3 linked regions of the Elephas maximus indicus genome follow. The protein of the gene in region 1 interacts with the protein of each later gene in a biochemical or structural test. Links are inferred from orthologs where the notes say so. Each region holds a gene or a part of one and is shown in the gene's direction. Other genes may lie near its edges.

What was found.
Region 2: the proteins of SNTA1 (region 1) and DMD form a complex in vitro, tested with the Homo sapiens proteins (2 studies listed by BioGRID, with this or other methods). The link is inferred for Elephas maximus indicus from reciprocal best matches to the Homo sapiens genes SNTA1 and DMD.
Region 3: the proteins of SNTA1 (region 1) and SLC16A7 interact in a test that uses a peptide from one of them, tested with the Homo sapiens proteins (3 studies listed by BioGRID and IntAct, with this or other methods). The link is inferred for Elephas maximus indicus from reciprocal best matches to the Homo sapiens genes SNTA1 and SLC16A7.

What each region holds. Positions count from the first base shown.
Region 1 is NC_064843.1:36,116,549-36,120,298, forward strand, and holds the start of SNTA1 (alpha-1-syntrophin), read left to right. Parts: upstream 1-1,426; 5' UTR 1,427-1,538; coding exon 1,539-1,848; intron 1,849-3,750. UniProt on the Homo sapiens protein: Adapter protein that binds to and probably organizes the subcellular localization of a variety of membrane proteins. May link various receptors to the actin cytoskeleton and the extracellular matrix via the dystrophin glycoprotein complex.
Region 2 is NC_064846.1:143,369,660-143,373,409, forward strand, and holds the start of DMD (dystrophin), read left to right. Parts: upstream 1-1,573; 5' UTR 1,574-1,799; coding exon of another isoform or gene 1,800-1,830; intron 1,831-3,750. UniProt on the Homo sapiens protein: Anchors the extracellular matrix to the cytoskeleton via F-actin. Ligand for dystroglycan.
Region 3 is NC_064822.1:119,688,496-119,692,245, forward strand, and holds the start of SLC16A7 (monocarboxylate transporter 2), read left to right. Parts: upstream 1-1,386; 5' UTR 1,387-1,529; intron 1,530-3,750. UniProt on the Homo sapiens protein: Proton-coupled monocarboxylate symporter. Catalyzes the rapid transport across the plasma membrane of monocarboxylates such as L-lactate, pyruvate and ketone bodies, acetoacetate, beta-hydroxybutyrate and acetate.

The sequences.
Region 1 (3,750 bases):
GCAGAGGCAGGGCTTTTCTGATAAGGATGCACTGGGGTCAGACAGCTCTGCCCCACATAAAACATGTGGCCTAGGCCAATTTTACCATCTAAATCCAAGTTTTCCCTTCTGTATAATATGGGGTGGAAACACTGGTGGCACAGTGGTTAAGAGCTATGGCTGCTAACCACAAGGTCAGCAGTTCAAATCCACCAGGTGCTCCTCGGAAGCTCTATGGGGCACTTCTACTCTGTCCTATAGGGTCATTATGAGTCGGAATGGACTTGAGCGCAACAGCTTTGGTATAATAGGGGGTATTCCTAACAGTAGCTACTCCATGAGGCTACTGTAAAGATAACACATGAAAAATTCTCAGTGCTAGGCCTGGCCAATAGACAGCATTCGATAAACGAAAGTGGTTATATTGATAGCACAGTAATTCACAGCCCACAATGTGTTTTCACATCAATTTGATCCTTACACAAGGCTTGAGTCTGGCCATTTCACAGATGAGGAAACTAAGGTTCAGAGAAGTGAAGTGACTCGACTAAGGTTGACATGGAGCCAACAGAGTATCTGAGCTGGAACAGAAAACCAAGAGCCCACACCCATAGTCCAGCCAAAAGTCCTGGGTTCTCCTCCCGCCAGACTTCAAAGTGCAAGACTTCAGGCTTCACTGGGGCTCGACGTACTCAGTCAAGAGGGTTAACCTCTGAAACTCGCCTCCAGTTTCAAAGCGTGAAGCGTGTTCACCCTCTCGCCAAGCCCTAAATACGGCTGTTTCGCGCTTATCCCATGGGCGGGGCTCTAGAAGTCACACGCCACACTAAGCCACGCCCACATACAACTCCCACCCACCCCCAACCCAAACGGGAAACCAGCCCTGTCCAAGCTACCCCAGCAGCAGCCCCAACTGCAAAGACCCTCTTGGATCGGCGTTCACCTCTTAAAATCAAGCCCTGAACTGGAGTCCGGCGCTCCGCCCTACGCAGCCCTGCCCCGACGCCCACAGCCTCGCCCGAGGACCCGTGCTGTTGCCCGCGTTCTTGTGCGCCCACCTTTGTGAGCGACGATCCGGGCCTTCGACGGCCTTGAGCAGCGCGGAGTCTCCTCCACTGGAACCAAGGGCCCCGTCCCCGCCATGAACCCCGCCCCCTGCATGGCCCGCCGGGACACCCGCACCTCGCCGGCTCCTCGCCTCCCTCGCGGGCCGGCTGCCCAGTGGGTCCCACACTGCTTCGCCCCGCCCCGGCCTCCCGCGGGCCGCATGGGGCCCCGCCCCTAGCCGCAGGCCCCGCCCACAGACCTCCCCGCCCCAACTTCGAGTCACGCCCACAGACCACCCCCCCAGCTGCGGGCCACGCCCCACAGGTCGCCCCGCCCCAGCTGCGGCCACGCCCGCAGATCGCCCCGCCCCTGAGGCGCTACCCGCGGCGGCCGGGCTAGCGTGGCGGCTGGCCCAGCCGGGCCCCGCTGCCCTGTGCCCTGGGCGCTCGGTCGGAGCGGGCCGGCACGGCGGGGCCGGGCGAGCGCGGCGGCCGGGGGCCCCGGAGGCGAAAATGGCGGCAGGCAGGCGCGCGCCGCGCACCGGGCTGCTGGAGCTGCGCGCCGGGGCAGGCTCGGGGGCCGGCGGCGAGCGGTGGCAGCCGGTGCTGCTCAGCCTGGCGGAGGACGCTCTGACCGTGAGCCCCGCCGACGGCGAGCCCGGCCCCGATCCCGGCGCCCCGCGGGAGCCGGAGCCCGCGCAGCTCAACGGCGCCGCTGAGCCGGGCGCGGCGCCCCCGCAACTGCCCGAGGGGCTCCTGCTCCAGCGGCGCCGCGTGACAGTGCGCAAGGCCGACGCCGGTGGGCTGGGTATCAGCATCAAAGGTGGGCGCGGTGGCACAGAGGGCACAGGGTCGTGGTGTCTGTGGGGCCGCCGGAGGCGCAGGGGTCGTGGAAGCTGGCGGCTCACTGAGGACATGGATTTGGAGGCCTTCAGTCTGAGGGAATGGGGAATCTGAGGGAGCTGAGGGAACCCGGGGCATGCGGAGCACCAAGGTCGGACACTTAGAGCCCCTGACAATGCAGGGGAGCCCCTGACAGTGCAGGGGGGGTCGTCAAGGACCGGAGGTCTCAGGTGTCAGAGAGGGCTAGGAGCGCACCAAGGACATGTGGGTGGGGAGTTCTGTGTGGAGACATAGGGACCTGAGGAGGGCAACTAGCATGGGCACCAAGGACAAGAGGGGCAGCTGGAGAGCAGAGGGTGGAGAAAGGCGAGGCCTCGGACACTACTGGGGTGGTGAGGGGGAGTCCCTGAGACATCACCAAGTGGGGGCAGGGCATGGGGTCTGGGAAGGACGGGGGCAGAGAGCAGACGGTGGAAACACAGGCTTCAGTCACAAACAGGGCACCACAATGGACCTAGAAATCTGAGGAAGGCTGTGCACCTAGCCAGGGGGCCCTGACCTCTGGGCTTGAATCCTGATCCGACCCTCCCCACCTTGCACAGGATTGACAGGGGCAGACCCAGAGTTGCTGCTCCTCTGTGAGCTCCCAGCCCCCAATACTGACAGCCTTCTTTGGGGCTCAACCAGATTCCATTTGAGTCCAGGATCTGCTGTGTGAACTTAGACAAGTCACTTCCCATCTCTGGACCTCAGTTTTCTCAACTGTATAATGAGGATAATGATAGGGTTGTGATGTTTCTTTGACACCAGATGTCTAAAGTGTTCACCATGGCAGCACATAGTAGGTGCTTGGTTAGTTACTGCTGTTAGATGAGAGGAAAAATGGAGGCCAGAAGAGACTCCAGAAACAACTAACCATACTGCTTAAAATAATCCCTGCATACCTTCAGCTGCTGTGCTCACCATTCCTGCCTGTCTGTTTCTTAGGGTTCCAGCCCCCGTATCACCTGAATGTGTACTGTCCTCTCTGTTCATTGGTGCCTTCAGACCCTTTGGCCTGGGTGTGGGTATGAGGATGGAGGTGAATGCCACCATTGAGTGCCAGGTACTGTAGGCTCAGGATCTACTACATCCTGACAACAGTGATGAAGGGAAGGGAGTATAACCCCCATTTTGCAGGTGAGGAAACTGAGACTCAGAAGGTGAAGCGATTTTCCCAGGGTCACACAGTGAATAGCTGAGATTTAAACCTCAGTTATGAGGCTACCATCCCCCTGCCTCCTGCTCCACGTAGGGAGTGCCCATTAGCATTGTTTCTTTCCTGTGGAAGGGTAAGTCCCCAGGCACCCAACAGTGGGTGTCTAAAAGAAGGGAGTGGGGAAGCCAGGGAGCAGGCACTAGCTTTGCCCCCAAATCCCAGCATGGCATAGGGCAAGTGGGCCAATCCAAAAATTGTACACTCAGTGTGTCAGAGAAGGAAGGAACTTAGAGTTTATATAGAGTTCCATTTCTCAGATGGACAAACCAAGACCCAGAGAAGAACAGAGGCTTTCTAAGGTCACATACAGTTACTCCCTAGTTCCATGCTTCCGGGTGGGTAGGAGGGTACTTTTAGGAGGCTCAGGGTAAGTACTAGTTCCATCTAATTCCTGTGGTTGCCATGGTGACTGCCCTTCTAGGGTCCAGTGCAGCTGCAGGCAGCCAGGAATGATCATGGCTTCAAACTGGATTAAAATCCCTAGTTTCAGGTCAGAGAGGCGCCCCCCGCCAAAAAAAAAAAAAACACCAGTTTTGTTCAAGTCCAACTCACAGTGACCCTATAGGACAGGGTAGAACCACCCAATAGAGTTTCCAAGAAACACCTAGTAGATTTGAACTACCA
Region 2 (3,750 bases), on another chromosome or scaffold:
TTCCTAAGCCTGTCTTTAAGTCAAATTTATACCTTAAGACAGAACAGTTAGGTACAGTTGCTATCTAATTTCAGCTAGCAGATGTTTGTCAGTATATAATGTATCTTTCTATGCATAAAAAACATTAAAGAAATACTTCCAGATACACTAAAATATCTTTAACGTAATAATATAGTAATAATAATGTTTTGATGTGTGTCACAAAGTAGTACCATTTGTTATTATAAAGCATTGTAGGTACATCATAGGCTTTACAGGGCTTGGTTTGTAACTACATGTTGTACGTAAGTCAGATGTTCGTAATCCAGGGACAACCTATATAAAAGTTTTGTTGGGGAAAATGGAAATATTATTATGATGATATTCTTATCATCATAATAATATTTGATATTATTTGGTAAATATTTGATAATATTTATAATATTTGGTAAATATCTTAATATATCAATTTTTTCTATAATTTATTTCTGTGCCAAGCAATTGAATGTTTGTCATAGAAAAATGAGTGCATCGCTTTAATAATGGTACTAGAGAAACACCGGATCAACGGCAGCTAACAATAACAACAACAACAAAAAACAACACTCAAATAATTTTGGCAGGGATTAGTATAATCAAAAATAATATCTTTCAAAAAAAGTCACTAATGTTTTCTATAAATATTGCATGTACCTGTCTCATTAAACAATAATAATAAAGAAAAAGAAGCAGCTTTGTATTGGCAACGAACGATTTACAAGCATCCTGAATGACAGGTTAAAACTGTGCTCGTTTAACACAAAAGGAAACCTCTGTTGTGAGCCACTAAATAATTGATCTTTAACTTAATGTCTAAGAGAATGGTGTTTTAATAATTGTCACCAAAGAAACTGAAGAAAGAGTAATTTGTTTGTAAAGAAGTTGTATCATAACCTGCAACTGGGATTTCTTCGTTCCATTGTAAGAGTGCTCTTTATTTTAGCAGAAAACTAGTCCTGGGAGACCTACATACATTCTGCGTTCAGAGATCAGCTGCCACATTCGTCTGTTGCTTTTCTTATTCAGATTGTTGGGATCATCAATACATGGCTTTTGATTAGTTCCCAACGGTAGAAATTACCTTTTGTAGACACTGGATGTATAACAAATGCATAGATTATTCCAGGCATTTCTTTTTGTGTCAGTAGAGTGAAATTTTTAGTGTTGTTCAGAAATGGGGGCGGGAGGGGGGGGGAGACATTAAAAATCAGTTCTAGATCAGGCTATTCTGCTCTGTTATTTTATAAAACTGCATAAAAAAAAGTCACAGAAAATACTGTTACATTTTTGTAATGTGCAGTTTTTGTGTTGAGAAGTCTTGGAGAACAAGTTCTCTGTCCACTATGCTGTTCTGGTTTGGATATTAACCAGAATACAGTTGAACGTTATTTGAATTCACAGGACTTGCCATGCTGGAAGAACAACCTTATATGTAGTGTCCATGGGCAGTCCTATTATGGGAAACCAACTTGAGGGAAAGGCGGGTCACTTGCTTCTGCGCAGGTCCTGGAATTTGAAGTATCCAGAGGCCTCTACAGAATTCTGGCACCAGTCACTATGTTGACTCACTCAGTGTTGGGATCACTCACTTTTCCCCTACAGGGCTCAGATCTTGGAGGCAATTACCTTCAGAGAGAAACGGATAGGAAAACTGAAGTATTTTTTTAAGGCTCCAGAAGTTTATTGGTTTCTCATCATTCCTAAGCCTACTCGAGCAATAAAGTTGGAAGAAATTTTTACCAAGATATTTATCGCTGCCCTGATATATACTTATTTTCCAAATGCTTTGGTGGGAAGAAGTAGAGGACTGTTGTAAGTACAAAGTAACTAAAAATATCTTTTGCCATGGCTTAACATTTAGTTTGTGACAAGCTCACTGATGAGGCAAATTGATTTTAAATTAGTATAGTAGTCTGTGAATAAGCATAAATGTTGTCTTATATATACTGTACATAGCCATATATGTGAAGGTGTACATACCTCTCATTGAGAAAACTTTTCAACAGAAAGGAGGTAGAATTCAAAATGTTTTCTTTGCAAATTGCACCTAACACATCTTTCTTATTTTAAGAAGCTCCTAAAATAATAGAATAAGCATCACTGCTTTGAGTGCTTGTAACAGACCGCTTTGATTGCTGTGAAATAGTTTGTGTCTCTGAGTTATTATCCTGATGATTTTGATACTTCTGTATTTAGTAATGCTTACATGTAATATTATATATTACATGTTGGGTAGTGACCTGACATATCTTCTTCATGAACTAATTGTTGTATGGGAATGAGGTGGGGACCTCGAGGTTAGAAAATTGTATCTGGCAGATCAGAGGAGAAAAAAAATAAAGAATACAATGAATTGTAATAGAGAAATGGAGGTTGGGAAAAGTATTGATAAAGATTTAAATAGAAGCTCCCTTCTCATATTACATTTAGTATTATGAACGTTCTTTTCTGTAGCATTTCATGAGAATTCTTTCAAATGCTGATATGATCTGTATTGCCAAATGACCATGTACTCTGTTTCTTGGGAAAACAACATAAAGGTGAAGGACTTCCAATCATATTTTGCAGTAAAGTTACCAAAGTCAGTTCATTGTTTCATGTTTATGACGGCCTAGCTCTATAGTCAGGCTTTTATTTAAAATACAACATTTATGTTTATTTTTAAGGAAGTCACGATGACTTCTGCCAAATTTAGAAATTAACTACGGTGAAAATAGGATATAAAAATAATATATGGTGAGAACAGTGTGTCCCAAAGAGGTGGATGAAGGACACATCTTTTTTTTTTTCTTTTTTTCTATCTCTGACTTGTGGATTCCAGTCACTCTAAAATAGGTACAAGAGCAACACCCATAATTAAGAATGAAAAAGTAAATCTCTCTAAGTAAGTAACTCTTCACAGCTTCTGGTGAAATAGAACAGAAGTTTTACCCTTGGGAAAGATTTCTAGGAATAAATTACTATTGTTTACTGGTTTGTATTAGCTGCTCCCAGGTCTCGTAGTGGAGCATTTACTGATATTTTTACCTTATTTTAGAAATTAATTTGATGAGCATCAGTGTTGCTTTCTGACTGAAAATCATTCACTTACTACAATGACAAAAACATATAACATATATTCGTTCTTTGTGTGTGCTTTTTGTGTCTATATATGTAGCCATGCATACACATACTTTCATATACCTGTGTGTAAGCCAATTCTAAAAGAAAAGCAAAGAGACAATTCTGGAATGAAGCAAGGCCAACCTACTCTCTGTTTTGTCATAGATATTTAAATATCTTTTTAATGTCTTAATTCGAATTTAAGAAAGCTAACCTTTTGGGAACATACCCTGTACGACTTTATTATAGTGAATTTTAAAATCAGCAGGTAATGCTTATGCTACATGATAGTGGGTTTGTTAAGAGAAAATGGACACATTCACAGGGCTATATTTCACATTAAATTTTACCAGTTGACAACATACTACTATTTTGATGTATTTGCATGTGAGTCCAGTTTGAACAACAACAACAAAAAAAATGCCTTGGTTTGAAAATTCAGAAGGATACAATTACATTTCATTTGGTTATTTTTAAACCAAAATAGTTACACTTTAACAGAGGAGATCACTATATTAACAGAAATACTGTTTACTTTTGAGGATTGCTCAATAATTCATTGACAAGGATTATATGTGTAATTCTTTGCATGTGTACATTTCATTCATTTTTTTAAAATGCTGTAAATTA
Region 3 (3,750 bases), on another chromosome or scaffold:
AGAATTGTGTTGCACAAGTTTTCAGAGGCTGATTTTTCTGAAGTAGATAGCCAGGTCCTTCTTATGAGGCATCTCTGGGTGGACTCAAACTGCCAAGTGCTTAACCATTTCCTCCACTCAGGAGCCCTGATAATGATAAGCACTTAATAAATCAGTGTAATAATTATTGCTACCATTTTGATTCTGAGTCCCTTAGGTTTCAAAGTTCAGGTTATTTTCGCTCAATTGCCTTGGCTTCACATAAAAGATTTAAGTTTTAGAAAAAACCCTACAAACTTCGAGTGAGTTATATTAGTATCTAGGATTAACATACCATTTTACCTTTTTCATTTTTTAGGAGGATGAATGGGTGGGGGAAGGAAAATTGGCAGAAAAACTGCAATAGTTCTGGAATCCAAGCCCACATTTATTCTTAAGAAGAGTTCCTTTTTCTACAAATAACAATTCAGCCTTAAAAACAGTCATAAGGGTCCAACCTTTTAGAGTTACCCAAATGTTCGTTTCCAGCCCTTCCTCTTTTCCAACTTCCCCAGGAAACATACAGGCACGGGAGAAAAAAAAATTTATATATATACACACACATACACACACACACATATATGTATAAAGGGGAAAGAAACCAAACCAATGACTGCGGAATTACTATTATCCCTAGCACTATTGATTGTCAAATAGCTAGCTCTATTTTGAGGAATTAAATATTTGGGATCCTAAAAATTAATTATTTACAAATGGCCTCCCTCCACTTCTTTGCTATTTTTAAGCTTTTATGGTTTCCTATACTCTTCTGATCTTGCGGTACATTTTCTTTTTCTCTTGAATGAATTGGTTGGTGAGCCTAATCCCCTACTTCTCCTTACTTAAAAAACAAAACAAAAACCCTCAATTAAAATACGTCCCAACACTTTCCCTCCAAGCTCACAATGAGGATCTTTTCGCCGCCAAACACACTTCCAGGCTTTTCTGCAATTGCAAGCTTTCGTCTCCTACAGGTGGCACGTCTCCCTAGGGTATCTAAAACGGAGCTACCTCACCGCTGGCTCCGACGTTAGGCTCGAGATAAAGCGTGTCACGAGCTATGAGGAACAGGAGATCTCTCTACCTGTCTCTGGCTTTCTCTCTTGGTCACAACTAAAATCCGAAGTGGAGCGCCCCGAGCCATAAAGTGTCTGTAGCGGTGACAGCCACTTGGAGCATGCTCAGTCCACCCTGAGTCACTGAGGGGCGGCTTCCTCCCCCGACGGTTGGTGGGGCTCCTGCAAAGCCAGTAGCGTTCTCCCCCAACCCCCATCCATTCCCCCTGGCGCGCGCTCCACGGCACCCACAAGGGCGTTCGTCAGCCGCGCCTCCCCTCCCCGCCCCCTCCTCTTCCTCCTCCTCCTCCTCCAGCTACGGCCGGCGAGGAGACGTCAAGGGACATAAATAAATAAATAATTCCATTCACCCGGTGACAGCGAGGCGAACCGGCTGCGGCTGGGCTGGGGGACCCGAGAGCTGCAGCGCCCATCCTATGCCAGAGACCGAGTAAAGTAAGTACACCGGGAAGGAAGGGAGGAGGAGGCAGGAGGCGCCCGCGCAGAGGAAGGCGAGCGTGGGACTGCGACCGGAGCCGCCCGGGAAGCCTCGCGCGTGTGTAAAAATAATGGCCAGCCTGCGACAAACGCGCCAACGCCAAGTTTGCCAGCGAGCCCTTATATAGACAAAAAGCCCGAAGCTGCCGCCGGAGGAGAGCTAGCGACAGCAGCGCCGACAGCGACGTGGGAGCTGCGGGGGCGTAGCCGGGCGCGGGCGCTCCCTGGTCTCGGCGGTGTGCCCTTGGGGGGTCCCGGGCGGAGAGGAGTCCCGCGCGCCTGCGTGTTTCTGACCAGGAGATGTCCCCCTCTCTGTGCGTGGCCGGAGACTGCCGGCGCGGTGCGCCCCCCCATCCTTGGCCCGTGAGACTGGAGGCTGTTTCCCGTTCTGCGTGCCCCCAGCGCGCGCTTCACCAGCATCCCGCCCCGGCCCACGTGCAACCCGGGATAGCGTCCTGGCAGCAGAAGCTTGGGACGTGGGTGGTTAGAGGTGTAAGGGTTGTCTTCTCTTCAGCTGACCTCAGCTGTTGGGGCGGCTCGGATAGGCTGGGAGGAGAGAAGCTATCAGGGAGGCATCTTTCTTCCTTTTCGGATCCCGGAAGGCAAGGAGGGGGCGGAGGCGGAGGCGGATGGAAAGGTGTGTGGGGGCCAGGAGGGCGCCGGGACAGACGGGGCACGCTGCCATAGAAGCAGCTAAAGAGGGCCTACGTCTGCAGGGCCCGTGCCGGTCTTCCCCGGCGCAGCGCAGCGCAGCGCAGGGGGCATCAGGCCCGGCCAGGTGGCGCGATAGGCTGGCGAGGGCGCTCACGTGTGAACTGCCTCTCAGCAGATGCTGCGGCGTAACTGCGCGCTCCGATTCCTTCTCTTTGCTATTTCCGCGAAAAGGATTGCGGACTGCCTTGGCAAGGGCGGTGGAAGCCAAGGCCACTTTCCTGGTAGGGCTGGGAAGGAAATTTTGTAGTTCTACTCCAGGGAAATTAACAGTAAACATACACACACCCAGCACAGGAGAGGGAACGAGGAGCGGTTTCTCTGCAAGTGTTTTATTGACTACCCTTCCTGGAGAAGTAGAACTGGGCTTGTTACTTGAGGGCGCGTTGGTGGCACTGGGAAAACTAATATTTCAAGTCATCTCCCCTTCCTGGGCCCCGTATTTTTTTTTTTTTTTTTCCCCTTCCTGGGCCCCGTAGGAGACTCAGCGGGTAAATGATGAGGCAATGAGAAAAAGATTGAGCCGGAGAAAATCGTGAGCATTAGTTCCCCTTTCCTGGCACTCGACGCTTTATGGTTAATCCCAAAGTGAGCTCAGAAGGTCGCAAACTTAGCTGCTGCGTTAGATTCAATGTGCTGTGTCATTGAAACCACAAGTACTAAGTGTGCATTTGGGAAGTGTGGCTGAGAAATCAGAACTGGGTGGCAGTTCCAGAGGGCAGATGAGGGTTGAACAAGGTGACCCTTGCTGAAATAATCCTAGCTCAGCTTTCTGCTTGTGAGCACATTACATTAAAACCAATCTAAGTGAGGGGGCATCTGAGTAATGTCAGTGAAAGGGAAGATATTTTTTACCTTAAGCAACTCAGTGTATTGTGTAACAACTCATCAAGTTGGAAACATTTCTTTGCAAATATTCACAGCCAGAGTTTGCAGTTCTGTACTGTTTTTTTTCCACAAGAGGAAATTGAAGTGATCTGAAATTTTAACACCCTTTTCTGTGTTGAAATTGGTGCATCTCTCTGTAAATGCTCAGTTTATTTCTAGACATGCATTTACTTCCTTTTTTTAAAAAAATAATATCTGCCTTATATTTTTGGCCTCCAGCTCTCCTGAAGGGAAGGAGGGTATAGTGATCTAAGGAAATGTCCTGTGTCCAGAATATATTCCTGGATCAAGGATCTGAAAGGGGAAGAAGTCTCCTAAATTTGCTTTTAATTCTGCATTCATACACCAAACATTTTTTGAGGAGTGGAAAAAGATGATTACCTTTAGAGTTGTCAGATCTAGACTTCAGACTTGGTTCTGCACATTTGTATGATTGAGTAATTCTCACAATGTCAGCTTCAGTTTTCATATTCATAAATGGGATTGATGGTACTTACCCTGAAGTGGTACTGTGAGGGATAAAATAATGTGTGTGGAAAACACCTGGAGTACAGACTAGCTATCTCTGAGCTCTTGAAAT